2 linked regions of the Arabidopsis thaliana genome follow. The protein of the gene in region 2 purifies or fractionates together with the protein of the main gene of each other region. This does not show direct contact. Each region holds a gene or a part of one and is shown on either strand. Other genes may lie near its edges.

Evidence for each region. Proteins that work in one complex are often made in the same cells at the same time.
Region 1: the proteins of HEME1 (region 2) and hemf2 fractionate together in Arabidopsis thaliana (co-fractionation; one large-scale study listed by BioGRID). This does not show direct contact.

The regions. Positions count from the first base shown.
Region 1 is NC_003075.7:1,410,925-1,415,335, reverse strand, and holds hemf2 (Coproporphyrinogen III oxidase), read right to left. Parts: upstream 2,552-4,411; 5' UTR 2,523-2,551; coding exon 1,998-2,522; intron 1,910-1,997; coding exon 1,834-1,909; intron 1,755-1,833; coding exon 1,633-1,754; 3' UTR 1,577-1,632; coding exon of another isoform or gene 1,571-1,576; 3' UTR 812-1,570; intron 719-811; 3' UTR 554-718; downstream 1-553. Other genes in the region: AT4G03200 (catalytics), read right to left, coding at 2,770-2,955, 3,026-3,202, 3,280-3,483, 3,556-3,780, 3,852-3,962, 4,044-4,307, 4,400-4,411. UniProt on the Arabidopsis thaliana protein: Key enzyme in heme biosynthesis. Catalyzes the oxidative decarboxylation of propionic acid side chains of rings A and B of coproporphyrinogen III.
Region 2 is NC_003074.8:5,018,454-5,023,692, forward strand, and holds HEME1 (Uroporphyrinogen decarboxylase), read left to right. Parts: upstream 1-2,007; 5' UTR 2,008-2,221; coding exon 2,222-2,244; intron 2,245-2,326; exon of another isoform or gene 2,327-2,330; coding exon 2,331-2,482; intron 2,483-2,780; coding exon 2,781-3,163; intron 3,164-3,246; coding exon 3,247-3,531; intron 3,532-3,626; coding exon 3,627-3,862; intron 3,863-3,946; coding exon 3,947-4,124; 3' UTR 4,125-4,693; downstream 4,694-5,239. Other genes in the region: AT3G14920 (Peptide-N4-(N-acetyl-beta-glucosaminyl)asparagine amidase A protein), read left to right, coding at 1-1,651.

The DNA of each region.
Region 1 (4,411 bases), on a different chromosome or scaffold from region 2:
ATATCTTCTGGCTTTGGTTTTTAGTAAATTTAAAAACATTGGCAAGTTGTGTTGTGTAAGGTAAGCCATAATAACAACACCCATGTATTATTTGTGTGTGTGTGTGTATATCCGGGGACTAAATTGTTTCTTTGTCCCCATTGGACGACATCGAAGAAAAAATATCACGGGCGTTTCTTGTATCAAGACAAATGAGACAGTGACGTTTACTTAATCCGAAATTGTTTAACCTAACACAAGTCCCACTCGTTGAAACTTGGAAACGATTTTTATACTAAACCAAATCATCAGATTCAATGTTATCACTCTATTTGAGTGTTGTTGTGTTCTGTCTAGTGAACAGTTACCGAGCAAGTGGCATGCGTGCGTGCACCGAGAGGCTCGGCTATTTGAGCCAACGGCTCTTATTTTTACTGTGTCAGTAAAAAAAATTAAAAGTTAATTACTTTTATCATCATCATCACGATTGGTACTATATACTCCATCATCAACCATCATGATCTTTGTTTGTCAGTGACTCATGATGAGATGACGCCAAATTACAATTTCTTTATCTCACTCACTTTTCATTAGACTCTTTACTCTTTTAAGGCTTTTAAAGACAAAACTAATAAAAGAGCTAATTGGGGAAATAACCACAATTAATTAACTAAAGCCACTCTTTTGGATTGATACAAGCATCTAATAGTTTCCATTCCTCAGTTCCTTCTTCAGGTTTCTGCATCCGCAACAAGAGACAAACACCATCAGTAGTTAAGTTTCATTAGCTAAGATGAAACAAGATTTAGTTTCTTGAATCAAGAAACTTTACATGGTCATATTCTCATCTCGCAGATAGCGGAAGAGAGACAAGGATACTCTCTATTCGTCCTCCAGTCTTCAGACCAAATGTTGTTCCGCGGTCATACACCTTTATTTTTACCATCAGCAACAAAACATGAGACGAGGTTTCAAGAGATATTTATACAGAAAGAAAAACAAAGCTAGTAGTATCCAATTACGAAGTTGAATTCAACATATCTGCCCCTTCGCAGCTGTTGCCATGCCTTGTGTTGCTCGTTAAATGGTGTGTCTTTACGTTTCTCTACTATGGGTATAGAAGCTGGTATCACTGAGCTTGCACATTCTGCAAAATTCATCTCAGTATTCAAATAAGTCAACTAGGAAGTTTCTTAAAACAAAATGTCACAAGTTATATCTTGGTCACTACCAGTGGCGAATGACAGAAGCATCTCTTGATCATAGTCATTCAAATCATCAAAAAATATCCCTCCAAGCCCTCGCCTCTCATCACGGTGCTGCAGGCAAGACCGTAAAGTTTTTAGTGTTTTCAAATCCTAGGCGACAACTTATCACTGTATCAACCTAAACAAAACCTTGAGGCTCTAAATCTATTCTTGCACATACATGACTCTAAAACTAAGGTCTTTTAGTTCCACAAAGTGCTAAGATCTCACCAAACAATCAGAATAGCGTTAAAGGAACTGCAGACCTTAATGTAAAAGTAGTCATCACACCATTTCTTAAACCAAGGGTAGAACGACGGATCAAATTTATCGCAGGCTTGCTTTTAAACCTACACAAAGAAAGATATTTCAATCAGCATCTCCATAATCACAAAGCTTCAAACTTTCAGAACAATGGATCAGGTTTAACGACCGAATGAAAGTGCTTGACGTCTTCTTCAAAGATGTAAGCAGGTGTGAAGTCAGTCCCACCACCGAACCACCATTGCCTCGGAGCTCCAGGAACATCTACAAGTGATGAAATCAAATGCTTCATCCAACCAAAAAATTGGAACTTTACACTTCTCAAAGAGGATTAAGGTCTTACCCTTTGGAGCATCGGTCTCGAAATAGCGGTAATTGAAATGCAGAGTCGGAGCAAAAGGGTTCTGAGGATGCAAAACCTAGAATGTAGGATCAAGCTCAATCAAAGAACTCAGAGACCATATCAACAGCAATGTCGACTGATAGAGAGAGAGAGAGAGAACTCACCGAGCTGGTTCCAGCGGCAAAGAACGGAATCGGACCAGGTTTTTGCTCAGACGTGGCAGCTTTAGCAGCTCTATAAGCTTCAGGAGGCATAACACCATAAATCACAGAGACATTAACTCCAGCTTTCTCCCATACATTTCCGTCTTGCAAAATACGACTGATTCCACCACCTCCACCGGGTCGAGACCAAACATCTTCCTTGAATTTAGGACCTTCTTCGACTGCTTCAATGGCTTCACAGACTTTATCTTGAGCAGTTCTTATCATTTTCTCGAAACGAGCCCTAACCGAATAAGAAGAAGATTGAGTTTGATCGCCGTCGGAGACTCTGAGGAAAGTGAAAGGTCTTTCTGTTTCCGGAACTTCTTTCTCGATTGAGACTGAGCATCGCAAGTCGAAATGTGGTCTCTTTACGGAACGAGGAAAGTGGTAAGTGAAGTAATTCGGAGAAGATTTGAGACGATGAGAAGAGAAGAGAATGAAGGAAGAAGGAGAAGTGAAGAGAGTCGAAGAGTGAGACGCCATTTTCAGCGATCGATCGAATCCAAGTTTTCACCTTTTTGCTGAAGATAGAAGATGATAAGGAATCGTCAAAGCTCTGTTTTTTTAACCAAACCAAACCCGGTTATTTCCGGTTTAGTTCAACCAAAAAACCTCATACTCGGTTTAGTTCTCTTCTTTATTTATCTACTCTGTAAGACTGTAACAGAGAGAACAACGTTGATCTGTTCCTTACAGTACAAGCAACTATTAAACATGGAATGATCTTTGTTTACTTGGAAAGCAAGCGAGTGAGAGAAGAAGAGTCAAAGACAGGAGGACTGCAAGTGAAGTGTTGACAAACAAGAGCCACCACTTTCTCTGAGTTTCTGTTCTTCTTAGCCATCTCAGCTACATTACTGTTATGCTCTTCCCAAAACTCGATTTCATCAGAACTAGAGGGATCTATGTGAATCACCTGCTCAGTAAAACCACCAAAAGTCACAAATCTTGAATCTAGAAATTTGGATAATTTTTTAAGCTCTTACCGTTTTATTAGGATCATAGACTGAATGTGCTGCAGAAAGCATGTTGGTAAGCTCTGGGGAAGACTTAGAACCAACCAATACAACTTGTTTCCTCGACGGAACAGAGATCATATCTGCGGAGCAGCACATTAATGGCACAGCCACCGCCAGTTCTCTTAACCTCAACTCAAAGACTGCCTGCAAAAACAACAACAAAGAGACTCAATAATCTCTTTCTATGAATAGCAAATGGGATTAGTTGTTTGTTTGTTTACCAGGAGACGATGTGCCGTGTTGAGGTAGGATTCAGCTTTTTCTCCGGCGACTATGGAAGCTAACCTCACAAGATTGATAGCAGAAACAGAGTTCCCTGAAGGTTCTGCACCATCATGATCTTCTTTTACACGAAGAAGAACCGATGGGTCTTGTCCTTCAGTATTGAAGTATGCTCCTCCTTCTCGGTCCAGATATAACTCATCCTAAAATGTTTTTAACTTTTTTAGCCAAAATCAAGAACTTTAACAAATCGAGCTAGTAAAGATCTCACTTGCCTGTGTTTCTTGAAGTTTAATCGCCCACTTAAGCCATTCGATCCCACCTCCATTCTCGTAAAGATCGAGTAAACCAGAGATCAAGAAAGCATAATCGTCTAAGAAGGCAGGAGCTTTGGATGGCCCCTGTCTGTAACTGTGTTGTAATCTGCGAGACTGCTCATCATAGAGATTTCCTCTGATAAACAAAGCTGCTTTCTCTGCAACCTCTATGTAATCCTCTGGCTGAAAAATGAGTCTTCTAATTACAAAACGGTCAAAGAAGAAATTAAAGGAAAGGGTGTAGCATTCATTACCTGACTATTCACCACAGGGAAATAATATTTGGTGCTTTCAGGCTCAGCCTTAAGAATCTTGGAAGCTCTTGCGAAAGACGAGATAACAAGACCGTTCCAAGACACGATTATCTATGAAAGAAATCTTAAATGGTTAACAAATCTGAAGAAACAGTAGAGAAGACAACATGAGAATTCCAAGAAGAGTATTACCTTATCATCTAGATGCGGCTTAGGTCGCTTCAATCTGACATCGAAAAGCTTTCTTCGGCATTCACCTAATATCTCCTGATACTTCTCAACAGAGAGGCTAAACTTTGATGCCATAGCAGACGTCTCATTTCTTTCGATCAGCACGTTCTTCCCAGCAAATTCATTGTGCGGGTCACTCCTGCTCGAAAGATCGCAGTTACCTGATTTCTTAACATAATAATGCTCCTTGAAAAGATCAGCATTCTCCCCGAGGACTTCATCAATCTTGAAACCAAACACACACGCAAAACAAATGTCAGTATGCAGAGGGAAACCAGAGTCAGCTCATGAATATATCATATATCAGAGAAAAGAACCTCATCGCTTGT
Region 2 (5,239 bases):
TCAAAAACCTCCCGTTCCAAATCTCCCGACAGCTCAACAACCGTGTTCGTATCAAATCCTCCACCATGACTTTGGCTACACCTACGCTAAACCACCGGTTCTCTCCAATTACACACTCCCCTCTCACTGCTCCTCTCGAGAATTCTCCAAAATCGTCCTCGAATTCAAATCCACCAGCCAAGGAAGACAATTCGATCGTATCTTCGGTGTTTGGCTTGACGGCGTTGAGATTCTCCGGAGCTGCACCGCCGAGCCTAGACCAAACGGAATTGTTTGGTCTGTCGAGAAAGATGTGACCAAGTATCACTCTTTGCTCGTCAAAAACGAGACTCAGATTCTCTCTGTTTATCTTGGTAATCTTATCGATAAAACCTATACTGGTGTTTACCATGTTGATGTCATCTTCCATTTCTATCAATCCGAAAGTAATCTTCAAGATGTTTCTGGTTATAGCTCTTCTAAAGCTGATATGATCCTGCCGATTTCGAGAAATCTTCCGTTGAACGATGGATTGTGGTTTGAAATTGTGAATTCGAATGATACCAAGTATAAGGAGTTTGAGATTCCTAGGAATGTTTATAGAGCTGTGCTTGAGGTTTATGTTTCTTTTCATGAGAATGATGAGTTTTGGTATGGAAATCTTCCTAATGACTATGTTACTGCTAATAATCTTAGTGTTGCTGGTAATGGACCTTTTAGAGAAGTTGTGGTTAGTCTTGACGGTGATATTGCTGGTGCTGTTTGGCCTTTCCCTGTTGTTTTCACCGGTGGGATTAATCCTTTGCTTTGGAGACCAATTACTGCTATTGGCTCTTTTGATTTGCCGAGTTACGATATCGAGATCACGCCGTTCTTGGGAAGTTTGTTAGATGGGAAGACTCATAAGGTGGGGTTTAGTGTTACAAATGCTTTGAATGTTTGGTATATTGATGCGAATTTGCATCTTTGGTTGGATCAAGAGAAGGAGATTGTTGAAGGGAAGGTGTTGGATTTCAGTAGAAGCTCTCTGGAGATTAGCTCTGTCTCGGATTTTAAAGGCTTGAATGGAAACTTCACCACGAAAGCAAAGAGGTCGATAACTTCGGTTGGGTTGGTTAAATCTTCTCATGGGGACATTATAACTAATGCTAATCAAGAATTTAGCTACGAGAACAAGATGGTTTTAGGTAAAGATGGGAACTTGCAGATCATAGATCAATTGATCCAAGCTGATGATCGTATTCATGCCAAGAGAGCCTCCAGAGAGATCTACGCAGCGAAATCTATCAAGAGTTTTCCTTTTTACCTCGACTCTGACACTTTGGAGCAGCAGAATAACACATATCTGGCGGTAGCGAATGTCTCGATGGCATTCAACGAGGAGAGATCAGAGAGCGACAAAGGGTTGATGAGAACGTTTAAGAGCAAGCTTGAAAACAAGCAAGAAGGGCAAGGAGTAATGGTGGTGAAGAATAACTTAGTGGTCAGTGGATATGGAAGCACACAACAAGTGTATAACTATGTTGGAAGTGACCAATGTTACTTCAGAAACATCAGTAGTTACAACTACACTATTCTCTATGACAAGGTTGAATCTGTTTGCAAGAAGAAAACACTGAAGCTGCCTCCACGGCTCGAGCATTTACCAAGACAACACCCCTTACTTGCTTGATATATGACCAGAGACAGTGGAGAAAGAAAGATCACAATTAAAAATAAACAGTTCCTTAATGTTTCTTCGGTTTTTTCAACTTTTCATACATTGTCTTTCTGGTCAACAAGGATCACAGTGAACCGGTATCTGAACTGAATGTAACAGAACCGGTTAATGTCTTAATGATTTATCAACCGATCGATTTGAATCCATCTCACAGTGCAAAACAGAATCTGAATTGTGTTTGTTCTGCGCAAAACACTCTGCTGTGACAATTAACCGATCAATCTGAATTGATATCAAATTGCTCAATACCGAACCAGCGAATCGTACCGGAAATATTACCCCCAAAGGCCAAAGGAGAAGCAACAAAGAAATCCGGAAGGTGGGTCCTAGTATTATCCAGATAGATCATACGTGGCATCATTACAGCCGTCGAAGTGATTGACTTAAAAAGGTCAAACCTTGAATCTCATCTCTCTCGTCTCCCCTCGGCGATAAGGAAATATCTAACCAGACCGGCCCAAGGAGCGGGCAAAATCAGAAAGCATTTGATCTTCAAACTCTTGGGTTCTTCTCTGATTGAAAATGAGCTTATCATCGCCAACCAGGTCCGATAAAGTTCCAATTTTTGTTCTTTCGATTACTGTTATGCCAATTTTAGTACTTTGCTTTTGCTAAATTCTGTTGTAGACAGTGCTTGTAGCTCGTCCAGATGTTACTCCTCGGGATTATCGTTTCCGATTGGATTTGGATCGAATCCCATCAATGTGGGATTGGTTTGTTACCCAAAAAGATACAGTATTGCTGCTCGGAAGTTCGTAGTGGCTTGCTCCTCCTCCTCTTCCGGTACATAATGATTTATGCTTTTTGATATTGAAATGATTTTAGTCGATTCGGGTTACTAGCTGCTCATTGGAATGTCATATTTTTAATTAAGCCTGAGTTTAGATGTTGAGCATGAATGTTGCCCTTGAAATGCTCTTTTTTTCGCTTGTGAGCTTGTGGAATAGATTGAAATTTCCAGTTTTGGGTCACTTCACTTGAAATTTAGCTAATCAGGATAAATGAATCTGTAGCCTTATACTTTTGTAAGTCTAAAGAAGCTTTCTCACATTTACACATTTTGTTCAAAATGTGTAATCAGATCCACTTTTGGTTAAGGCTGCAAAAGGGCAAGCCATAAGTCGTCCTCCAGCTTGGATGATGAGGCAAGCAGGAAGGTATATGGCTGTTTACCAAAAGCTCGCCAAGAAACATCCGTCCTTCAGAGAGAGATCAGAGAACACTGATCTAATAGTGGAAATCTCTTTGCAGCCTTGGCAAGCATTCAGACCAGACGGTGTCATCATTTTCTCTGACATCCTCACCCCTTTACCTGCATTCGGTGTCCCTTTTGATATTGAAGAGGTAAAAGGTCCTGTAATCCAATCTCCTATCCGAACTGAAGAAGATATGAAGAGATTACATCCCATTGATTTCGAGAAACTACAGTTTGTTGGAGATTCTCTCAAGATTTTGAGACGAGAGGTGGTTTTCTTCTTCTTCTTAGCCTTCCCCTAGACTTGACCAAATGTCTTCCAGTTTGTGAAAATGGATTCTTGTTTTGAAAGGTTGGGGAACATGCTGCGGTGTTGGGTTTCGTTGGAGCGCCTTGGACAATTGCAACATATATTGTTGAAGGAGGAACAACTCGAACATATACAGTCATAAAGAATATGTGCCACACTGCACCAGATGTATTGAGAGCTCTATTATCTCATTTAACCAAGGCCATTACCGAGTATGTGGTTTACCAAGTTGAGCACGGAGCTCACTGCATACAAATATTCGATTCCTGGGGTGGCCAACTGACTCCGGAGATGTGGGAGCGCTGGTCCAAACCATACATTGAAGAGGTACAATTAAATGCTTTCAACTTGATTACTTGAAAGTTGAAACATTTTCTTTTCGCGTTTTAACGTTTTTTTTTTCTGCCATTTGGGCTCGCCAGATCATACATGCTGTAAAGAAAAGATGTCCAGATACGCCGATAGTTTTCTACATCAATGGAAATGGTGGCCTTCTTGAGCGAATGAAAGGAACTGGAGCTGATGTTATTGGACTTGACTGGACTGTAGATATGGCTGATGGAAGGAGGCGATTGGGAAGCGAGGTAAGTGTGCAGGGAAATGTTGATCCAGCTTACCTATTCTCTCCGCTTCCTGCTTTGACCGAAGAAATTGAAAGGTAGGTCACTTTGTTCAGCTGAATAAAAAAGTAGTGCTTATAATTCAAATTAAGAAACTGAAAGAAATGTATGTTTTGTGTCAGAGTTGTGAAGTGTGCTGGACCAAAAGGGCATATTCTCAATCTAGGACACGGTGTCTTGGTAGGGACACCAGAGGAAGCCGTGGCTCATTTCTTTGAAACCGCTAGAAACTTGGATTACCAAACACTTTTCCAAAATCATGTTCCTGCAGAAAAAGCTGAACCTGAATTGGTTGTCTGAGAAATGGTGACTAGACAAGTGCCTACGCCGAAGAATTTGCTGTTTAAGTTTTGTGAACATATGTCTGAATCTCTTAAACTTGGTGCAGGAATGAGAGAAAAAGTTCCATGTCTGACCCTTAATCGATGCTAGAGTTGGTAACTTGCTATGAGATATATGCGAAGCTGTCCAGTTTTTGTTTGGCTTGCTTGAGGATTTCCAATCTTCTGGACCAAGCTCTGCTTAACGTTTAACAATGTATTGAGTTGCTCCTAGGCTTCAAATGTTGCTGCTTCTTTTGGAGATATGACTCTGGTTAAAGTTTAACCAAACATTCATTTATCTGGTTAATCTCAAACCTTTGCTATGTTTGTTATCCCACTTTTTTCATATGGTTCTTTCTAGATCTCTGTATCTGGTGTGTCTTCTCTCGTGATCTCAACATTCGATGTGAAACCAGGTAGATTGTAATATTGTATCATAGACTGCAAAAGATAACGCAAAAGAGAAGTCTCTGATCTCAACCTGAATCAGACTTGTTAGGAGTCCCTCTTGTTTGGTTTAATTCAATTTTCCGGTTCGGATTTCTGGATTATAAACCGAATTAACTACAAACGGAAAAACGTACCGCGTTATTGCGGTAACCAGCAACTTTAATTGGCCTATAGTAGAATCAAATGAAAAGAAAAGAGCAATTTTTTTTTTTTTTTTTTGGTTTTTTGGTTAAAGAAGAAAAGAGCAAATTGGAAAAACAAATAGATAAGATAATTTATATGATTTAAAAGTCAAATGTAATCACAACATATAAATTTTAACTTATAAAATATAGTCACACCATTGCCTCATCGTATTTGCTTTCATGAATCATCCCACCACTTGTAAGCTTTATTTTATTAAGAATGAAAACGGAGAAATATAAATTGAACACTATATACTATTGTCGTCACCCTCCCCGAATGTTTCTGATAAATAATGTTAACTATCATCTAATACGTCAACCGGATTATCACCGACACTGACCCCACACCTAACCACTGATGCACAAGTTTATATTAGTGTAGGTATCATCCACAATATATTATCCAATAATTGAACCTTGTTAATGTCTTTGGTTCATAAAGCGATCTATAATCAAT